2 linked regions of the Ovis aries genome follow. The protein of the gene in region 2 interacts with the protein of the main gene of each other region in a pairwise test. Links are inferred from orthologs where the notes say so. Each region holds a gene or a part of one and is shown on either strand. Other genes may lie near its edges. The genes, in order: MAPK8IP1 and LRP1.

Evidence for each region.
Region 1: the proteins of LRP1 (region 2) and MAPK8IP1 interact in a two-hybrid assay, tested with the Homo sapiens proteins (2 studies listed by BioGRID). The link is inferred for Ovis aries from reciprocal best matches to the Homo sapiens genes LRP1 and MAPK8IP1.

Annotation. Positions count from the first base shown.
Region 1 is NC_056068.1:74,845,260-74,849,804, reverse strand, and holds the start of MAPK8IP1 (C-Jun-amino-terminal kinase-interacting protein 1), read right to left. Parts: upstream 2,995-4,545; 5' UTR 2,874-2,994; coding exon 2,773-2,873; intron 1-2,772. UniProt on the Homo sapiens protein: The JNK-interacting protein (JIP) group of scaffold proteins selectively mediates JNK signaling by aggregating specific components of the MAPK cascade to form a functional JNK signaling module. Required for JNK activation in response to excitotoxic stress.
Region 2 is NC_056056.1:162,479,737-162,483,534, forward strand, and holds part of LRP1 (prolow-density lipoprotein receptor-related protein 1), read right to left. Parts: intron 1,114-3,798; coding exon 991-1,113; intron 1-990. UniProt on the Homo sapiens protein: Endocytic receptor involved in endocytosis and in phagocytosis of apoptotic cells. Required for early embryonic development. Involved in cellular lipid homeostasis.

The sequences.
Region 1 (4,545 bases), on a different chromosome or scaffold from region 2:
TCCCACACTGGAGTCAAAGGTAATTACTAGTAACTGGTTGGAGCATTTCTAGAATCAGAAAAAAAAAGGTTTATTTACACCAACTCTCACCAAATAAATGCTCGCCCTCCTCAGAGCCACACCTGTGTCCCCCTCCCCAAACTCTCCATCGTTATCCCTCTGGGCCCTCTCTTTCTGGGGTGGCTGTGAACTTGACCTCTGCCACTTATCCAACCTCTTCCCGTCTCAGTTTCTTCATCTGCAAAGTGGGGATAACGACAAGATTCTGTCTGTGTGGTTCTGGGCAGGACGAGGCGCCCTTGCACAGAAAGTGCTTAGAACGGCGCCTGGGCAGAGCAAAGGCCTCCCAAGTGGCAGGGTTTCCAGCGTTCTTCTCTGAACTCTCCAGTTGCATCCCCGGTTAAATAGTAAAGCACTGCACACCTACTCTGTGCCGGGCTTCAGGCAAACCAAAGTTTAGGTATTGACGTCTTGTGCCTTCTGGAAGTGGACAGTGGTGCTGGGTCACACGCACACACGCACGCATGCACATACACGTGCACACACACACACACAATAATACCCACAGGAATAGCCCGACATGAATACAGCTCTTCACAGCCCTTGAAACACTCAACATGTATTGTTTCATCCAAGTATTAGGGCCGCCCTGAGCAAGGGCCAAAGTAGGCATCATGGAGAAAAAACCAGCCCAAGGCATTCGGCACCCACTCTGAGCATGCGGCTAAAGGGACGGAGCCAGGATTCAAAGCCAGGCCAGAGCCACAGGGGCGCAGTCCCACCCGGGCTCCATCAGCCGAGCTCAGAACTGTGAGAGGCGGCCAGGGAAAGGGCAGCGGGGGCTGCTGGAGCCGGCAGGGCAGGCCTCGGGGCCAGAGACACTGGCCTTACTGTTCACATCTCCACAGCCAGGCCATGGTGTCCCGGAGGGCCAACCCACACTCAGCCTTGGCACAGTGCCACCCTGGCCCACCGGGCCCAGGGCTGGGCACACTCACTGGCGGGCCCTCCTTATCAGTCGCTGTCCCTCAGGAGTCCAGGATAACCTGCCCGCCGGGGGCAGCAGGGACGGAAAGCCCTCTCACCTGCGGAGGGGAAAGCAGGTGGGGAGGCCAAGCTGTCCTCCGGGTCAGGCTGGGCCTGAAGGTAGAGTGGACTGAACACGCAGCCTCAGGCCCTGACTCCCCTCGGGGAAGCCACCCGCCTTCCTGAACCTCAGTCTTCTCATCTACAAAATGGGCAGGCCCATCCTGACGCCCAGAGTGGTGGGGAGGGAGACCTCAGCCAGCCCCGGGAACATGCCCCGAGCAGGAATGAGCCGCCTCAGCGCCCGCCGGTGTGGAGGGTGATGCTTGTTGAGTGCCAGCGTGATGCACCTGAAGGAATCAATATGAATTAGCTCATCAACAGATGAGACTGAGGAAAGCCCAAAGAGCTGCCCAGGTCAGGCAGCTAGAAAGTTGGTGGAGCCAGGATTCGCATCCACGTCTGTCTCAGGGCTGTGCTCAGCCACCACAGAGGGGCCTCCTGGAAGGAGGGCAGCGCTGGTGGGAAGGCAGCGCAGTTCACCTCCGGTGGAGTGAGTCTCAGACCTCGGCCTCCTTACTCTGAGGCTCGAACCACAAAGCCCCCAGCCCTGGAGCCCGGCCTTCTCCATCTGGTCTTTGGCAGCTCAGCTCCGGGCCTTCTGGGAGATTTCCAGTCCTAAAGATGATGCCGTTAGCGATCCCTGGAGGCCCCTGCCCACCTGAGGGCCGGGGAGCCAGAAACCCCTTGGTCAAGAAGAGGGGCTGGCGCCAGAGCCCAGCTGGGGCCCGGCGCGGGTGCAGGCCCCAGGAGAGGGGCAGACACCAGCTCATTACATGGAGGAACAATGGGGAATGGAGGCCTCTTTCTGGGGGCTCGGGAGCGGTAACCCCTCCTCCTCTTCCTCTCCAACCCGCCAGGATGAGGACGGAGGGACGTCCATCCCAACCCCCACAACACCCACTGCCACCTCTCTGAAATCCACCTCCCAGTTGCCTAAGGCCAGACTAGGGGCATGGAGAGAGCTGAAGCAGGAGCTCAGATCAGGATCCAGGGTACTCACCCCAGCAGGAACCACCCCACCAATAACCGTGGCTACTCCCGCGGGCTCCAACCCAGACTCCCCCTCCCACAGCCGGGCCTCGATCTCGCGGGTTGAGGCTGAGCCTTCGTTCGGCACCTACACGCATCTGACCAGGTCAGTGCTTGTCCCAATGCACAGAAGGTCCTGGCCACGCCAGGCCTGGGAGTTGGGCCCCTCTGGCCAGGCAGGGCTGGGGGAGGGGCCTGCGACTCTCTCTAGCACCAAGGCTGTCGGTCGCCCCAAGAAACTGGGACCCGAGGGGCACCCCAACCTAGTGTCATCCTCTATTCAGGAGCCTTCCGACTGTGCGCAGGCAAAGCCCCAGGCTTCCTGCCTCCTGCGGGACCTCAACGCGGACCCCAGACCCCGCCGCAGCTCCAAAGTCGGAGAGAAGGCGGCCTCCGCGCCCCCTCCTCCAGTTCCAGCTCAGGATCTCCTCGCCTCGGACACGGAATGGCGGAGAGAGCCGCACCGCGGATATGCATCGGCCATGAGTCTAGACTTGAGGCTGACGAGGATTCGGGAAGAGACCCCATCCCCACGCCGCCCTCTCGTTCTGCGGTTTCCCATGAGTGCGTGTTGCGAGGCGGGTGCGGGGTGGGGGGAGCCCGGGCAGATCGATTTAGGTTGAAGGGTGGGGCGCGGCGGCCGGAGAGCCTCACCTGAAATTGGGCGGCGACGCGATGTGCAGCCCCAGGAACGGGGAGGCGGCAGGCGGGGACGCAGCCCCCCCGCCCAGGCCGCCGCTCTCTCGCTCCGCCATTCTCCCGCACAGCCCTGGCCATCCGGGCGGAGCGCGGCGCGGAGGCGGCGGCGGCGGCGGCGGCGGGGAAGGAGGCGCGGGCGCGGCGAGAGGCCGCCGCCGCGGGGATCGGCTGGGGACTGCGCGGCGGGCGCACCTGCGCAGGGCAGGGCGCGGCTCCAGACCGCGCGCCGCTCTCGGGACTGGCGCGAGCGCCTCCGAGCGCGCTCCCGGGTCCTCGGCCAGGCTTGGGTATGCCCCGCCCCGCCCCGCCCCTTACCCGGGAGCCCCGCCCCTGCTGCGCTCTCCAAGGTGCTGAAGTCGCAGCCCCGCGGTCCCCGAGTTTGGCTCCGCCCCGCCCTCAATCCCACGCAGTAATAACAGCCTCCCCTTCCGCAAAGCCCTCTGTGTCCCTGCGGGCTCTCTTCCTGGGGTGGGCCTAGCGTCCGGGTATGCAGTAACTAATGGCGGGATCTTGGTCCCTGGGACCCGAGTTGACCCCCTCGCTGCAGACAAAGAAGGCAGTCAGGAAAGGAGAGTCGTGGAGGAAGGCAGAGAAACACTAGCGGGTGTTGGATGCTGGCTCCTAGGACCGACAGATTTTTGGAGTGAGGTAGGGTGAAGTCACAGCCCGGCTCTCCTAGTAGAATAGGTGGTGTGACTTCACATTAGTTACAACAGTCCTAAGGCTTGATTTTTTTCTCATCTGTGAAATGGGGATGATAATGGTCCATCTCATGGTCGTGAGGATGAAATATAATACAAATGTTGGCACTGGAGGCTGGGAACACCCCACCTCCAGCTGGGAACCAGGGCTCACCCCTTGAGGGGACTCCCCCCCCCCACTCCACCCAAGGACTCTGCCGAGGGTCTCCTCTCTAAAGAGTGATTTAAGCCCCTTTCAGCCCCAAACACTTCTAATGGTGAATTGAGCCTTTCCTTTTGGCTTCTCTCAGCTTCTCCTCCCTCATGTCAGGACTTTGACGTCACCTTCTCCTCACTTAGCACCTCAATTGTATTTCCTGCAGAGCACCCCCTTTTGCACTCAGACACCCCATAGCAGGCTTCTCACATTCTAAGACTTGGGGCCTTTCCTCCTGCCCCTACAGTTGACTTCTAGGGATTCTTTTGATGGTTTTTCGGCTCCCTCCAGTGCCTCTGCCCTGCAACTCCGGGTCATGGTTCCTCCTGGACTTCTCTCCCCTAAGAGGATTAAGCCTGTGTGTTCTCTCACAGCACATGGACTTCTGGGCACTCAGGCTGCTGGGCACAGCAAGGTCCCCAGCTCTGGTGGGTCATAGAGCCTCTGCCAAATCTCACTGGCTTGTATGGCTAGTTGAGAGAGCCGCAGAGGTCCTGTCCTTCTGAAAAGGCACTGTTTCACAGCTGTGGAAGCCTATGTGCAAATCTAGACTGCCCACTGGTTGCGCCTACAGCGTAGTGCCCAGAAAGGAGCAGTGGGCACCTGCCCTGCAGCCAACAAGCCCTGAGCTCCACTTCTGAGGTTAATACCTAGAGCTGAAGGCCTTTGCTACTTCTCTTCTCCGTGTTCCTGGGCCCAGAGGGGACACATAATCTTTCCTGTCTTGGTTCAGGCTCCTTTCACTAGGACCAAAAGGTAACCGCTTGCTGCTATGGTGCTGACTTTTCCTCCCAGGAAAGCAGTTTTGCCACAGTGGCTAATAATTTTTCC
Region 2 (3,798 bases):
CTAAAGGATGGATAAAAAGAGCCAGATCTGGCCCCTCTGCATGGCTTTCTTGATCTTCAACACCAAACACTGGGGTCCGAAAAGTGGGGCATAAAGGTGGCCTGAGACGAGCAGACACTCCAGGCTGAGCCACCATAGAAACGCTTGTAGAATGTCCCTGGATCCCACACCTCCAGAGCAGGGTATCAAGGTGAGGCAGAGAGAACTAGTGGTTTCCTTTTCTGGCCCTAAAATTACCGCTAATAATTATGAGTGAGGGTGTGGAGATGGGGCTGGGACATGATAAACCCCAACAGAGAACGGAGAAAGACCTAAGAATGCAGGGTCCCCAGACCCCTGCCCAGACTACCCCAGCAAGGGAGAGGCTCTGAAGGCGGAGACTTTGCCAGCTGCCCAGGACTCCAGGGTCCCGCCAGCAAGTTCTCCACCCCCCACTGGCAGGGTAAAGGCTGGGTGGGGACCTTTCTCCCAGTTTAAACAGCTGCCTCTGATTACACCACTTACTGAGGGTAGGGGGAGGGAGGAGGGCGGGAAATGCTCAGGGGTGGGGCTTCTGGTACAGAGATTGAGCCAGAGCCAGTGGCCTTTGGCCTGGGAACCTGAGGACAGGAAGGGGACCCAGCAAGGCCCAGGGGCACCCATCAAGGATCAGGAGGCTCAGAGGTGGGAAGAAGCGGAAGGAGCCAGAAAGAAGGGAGGGGAACCTTCCAGCAAAGCTGTCAGCCCAGAGAATATGGTCTCAGGGAGGCTGGGGTTGGGGGCGGGTACAGCAGCTGAGGAAGCTCATTTTTGAGCATACCAAACACCTGGCCGGGCTCTTTGAAGAGCAGGGGGAGGACAGTTGGACAGTTTTAGCTGTGTCATGTACAAACAATCACAGAGCAAGGTCCACACCAGGCTCAAGCTCAACTGTCTTCATCGTAGACTGCTGGGCCAAAAGGAAAAGGGAAAAATCAGCGATGGGGGTAGGGATTTAGAAAAGGTACTTACAAATCTCGGGAGCCTCGTCAGATCCATCCGGGCAGTCCCTCTCACCATCACACCGCCAGCCTTTTGAGATGCAGGTGATCTGGTCTCTGCAGGCAAATTGCTTGGGGCTGCAAGTCTTAGGGACTAGGGCCAAGGGAAGAAAACAGGGGTGTGAATAGGGGTGGAGGCCGCTCTACAGTCTGAAAGCCCTCAAGGGTTCCTCCTCCTTCTTCAGGCAGTAGCAGTCTCCATCCGGCCCAGGCTCTAACCCAAGCTTCATGTGTGGAGCAGGGGTGGGAGGGAGGGGCTGGGGGTCACTTCTGAACACTGTGTACCTGAGATGGGGGAGGGGAAGGACGCAGGAAGCACACTGCTGCCGCCTGACTGACTCCTGTAGGCTGCCCATTGGGTGTGTGCTCTCCCAGCTCTCAGGACCAAAGCCCTTGTGTTCTCTGATACTCTGGTCAGACCACAGCAGCCTCCACTCTGCTGACTGAGAGTGATGGGGCATTTAGGTTTTTGACAGGTTTTCTCTTTATCTTCTCCATCCCACTAGAGGTCCAGAGCTGGTCTTTACTAACCTCTCTGCTCCTTCACCCTCTGGGACACTCCTGGTCCTTGGAACACATCACCCCACACATCTCCAACTCCTAACCACCAGGCCCTCCCCAGACGGGACGTGTGTTTGGGGTGCCCTTGGCACATGGGTGTCTCAGAGATGGCATCAACAGAGGAGTTCTGCCTCCACATCCATTCTCTAAACAGTCTCCCTTGCGGATGCCCTCAGAGTTAATAGGTACCTAAGACTGCTCAAGCCGACAGGGCTGGAGAGCCGAGGCAGGGGGATGGCTGGGGTGACCTGCAGGAGCTGGTTTCAGACCAGCCAACCCAAGAAGTTCCTATATCCAGGACCTCTTCTTTGCCCTAATCCCTCACCCCACCATCTGCTCTCTACACCCACCCCATTCTCTTACCTCATTCTCCAGGGATGAATTAAACATGGTAACACTAACTCTCATTGTTACCTCAGTATGTGCCGGGAAGTGTGATCAACCAGTTCTTTCCATATATCATCGCATTCAATCCTCTCCACAATATGACAAATTAGGTACGAGTAATACTATTTCCCAGATGAGGAAACCCAGCCTCAGAGGATGTGGGGTCACACAGCAGCCAAATGTCGCAATCAGGACTTAGACCGGTTTAGCCGACTCTAAGCTGTGAAGCAGCCAGTTGACACCAGGCTCCCCATTTCCACTGAGAGGTCTTCAGGCGCTATTCCTCCCAACCCTGTCAGCATGTCCTCCTCGGGAGGGAGGCAAGCCCCACCTCCTTCACTGCTGCCCCCCAGTCTCCCAGCCCTGCATTGCCTCTTCCTCGATCTGCGTCCATCCCGTTTCTCTTCGGCTGTCATGCACCAGAGCCCAGCTCTGTGCCAGGCAGTAAATGAGGCACTGGGGTGCCCAGGAGGGGTGGGGTGGCCCCTCAGGAGCCATGGCGCCCCAGGAAGACCGCAGGGCAGAGTGAGCTCAGGGCTGGGACGGAGCAGAAGAAAGTGTGCCGGGGCTCTGAGCAGGGAGGGATGGGCTCTGAGGAGAGCCACACTGGGAAGACGTCCTCCCCTCAACCCCCGCCTCTGGCAGCGGGGACTGCACTCAGGCCGCCGGCCAGGGTGAGAGCCAAGTTCAGGAAACACATCAAGGATGGCCTGGCTAGGCCCCCCACCCTGGAGCCCCCTCCCCTGCCCCCCCACCCTGAGCAGGGAATAAAGGCCCCTTGAGGAGGCGGATAATGCTGAGTTCATTGCCCCACTGGGCCAGCTGTGAGGTCTTCCCGGGAAACTGCTAGGCAGCCTAGTTAGCATGCCGGAGAACGGTCCTCTTCCCCTGGCTGGCCGAGATGGGCTGGGGTTGGCGGGGGAGAGCGGTGGTAGAGGGGGCTGGAATGGGATTCAGAGGCAGATGGGCTGTTTGGAGCCCAGACAGGTCCCCATGCCCATCCCTGCCCCCACCTGGATTTAGCAGTCCATGCCCCCACTCCTCGCCGGGTAGAACTCACAGCCCAGGCCCGAGGTCACTGGTTGGTCACTCCAATCTCCCCTCTATTCCACATCCCAGCCACGATCCCCCCCTGCTTTGGCCCTCACTTTCTCACTTTGTCCCCTTGCTGTCCCCCACCCCCATTTTTGGCCTGAGCTCGACAGAGGAAACAGCAGCTGGCAAACTCCAAAAGCTGGAATGAGAGAGATTCACAAACCAGATGTGCTTTTGCGAGGGAGGGGAGTGGGGGATGGGGAGTGAAAGGAAGAGGAGCCCCTGAGGCCCTGGCCCACAGCAGACCCCTCCGGCCGGGGCGGGTGACTGGGCGCACACCAGGGCAGCACAAGGACCTAAGAGATGCAGGAAGCACTTCCTTTCTGTCAGGGATGGTGGAGAAAAGACCTGAGTTTGAAGGCTAAGGCCTGTCTTTGATTTCCTTCTTAGGGAAAGGGGAGGAAAGGAACAAATAACCTACTTTGGGGCAGTCTACACGGGCCAAGGGAAGCCTCATTTGGAGGTGGAGGGTGTTGCAGTGGGGGTGGGGTCGGAAACCTGTAATCTGCTTAGAGCCCGCAGCCAACCCCACTCCCCTCAGCTGCGCCTTCTGCGTCTGATGCCAGCACCCAGAAAACCCAGCTAGGTGGCCCCAGATGAGGGAACAACATGGCCCTACATTAGGGAGCAACTAGTGGCCTCCCCTGGCTCCCACCCCTTGGGAGATCTGGGGGTTCCTAAGGATATGAGCTAACACTTTTCAACATGGTGACTCTGCGTCAGCACCTGGGCTGAG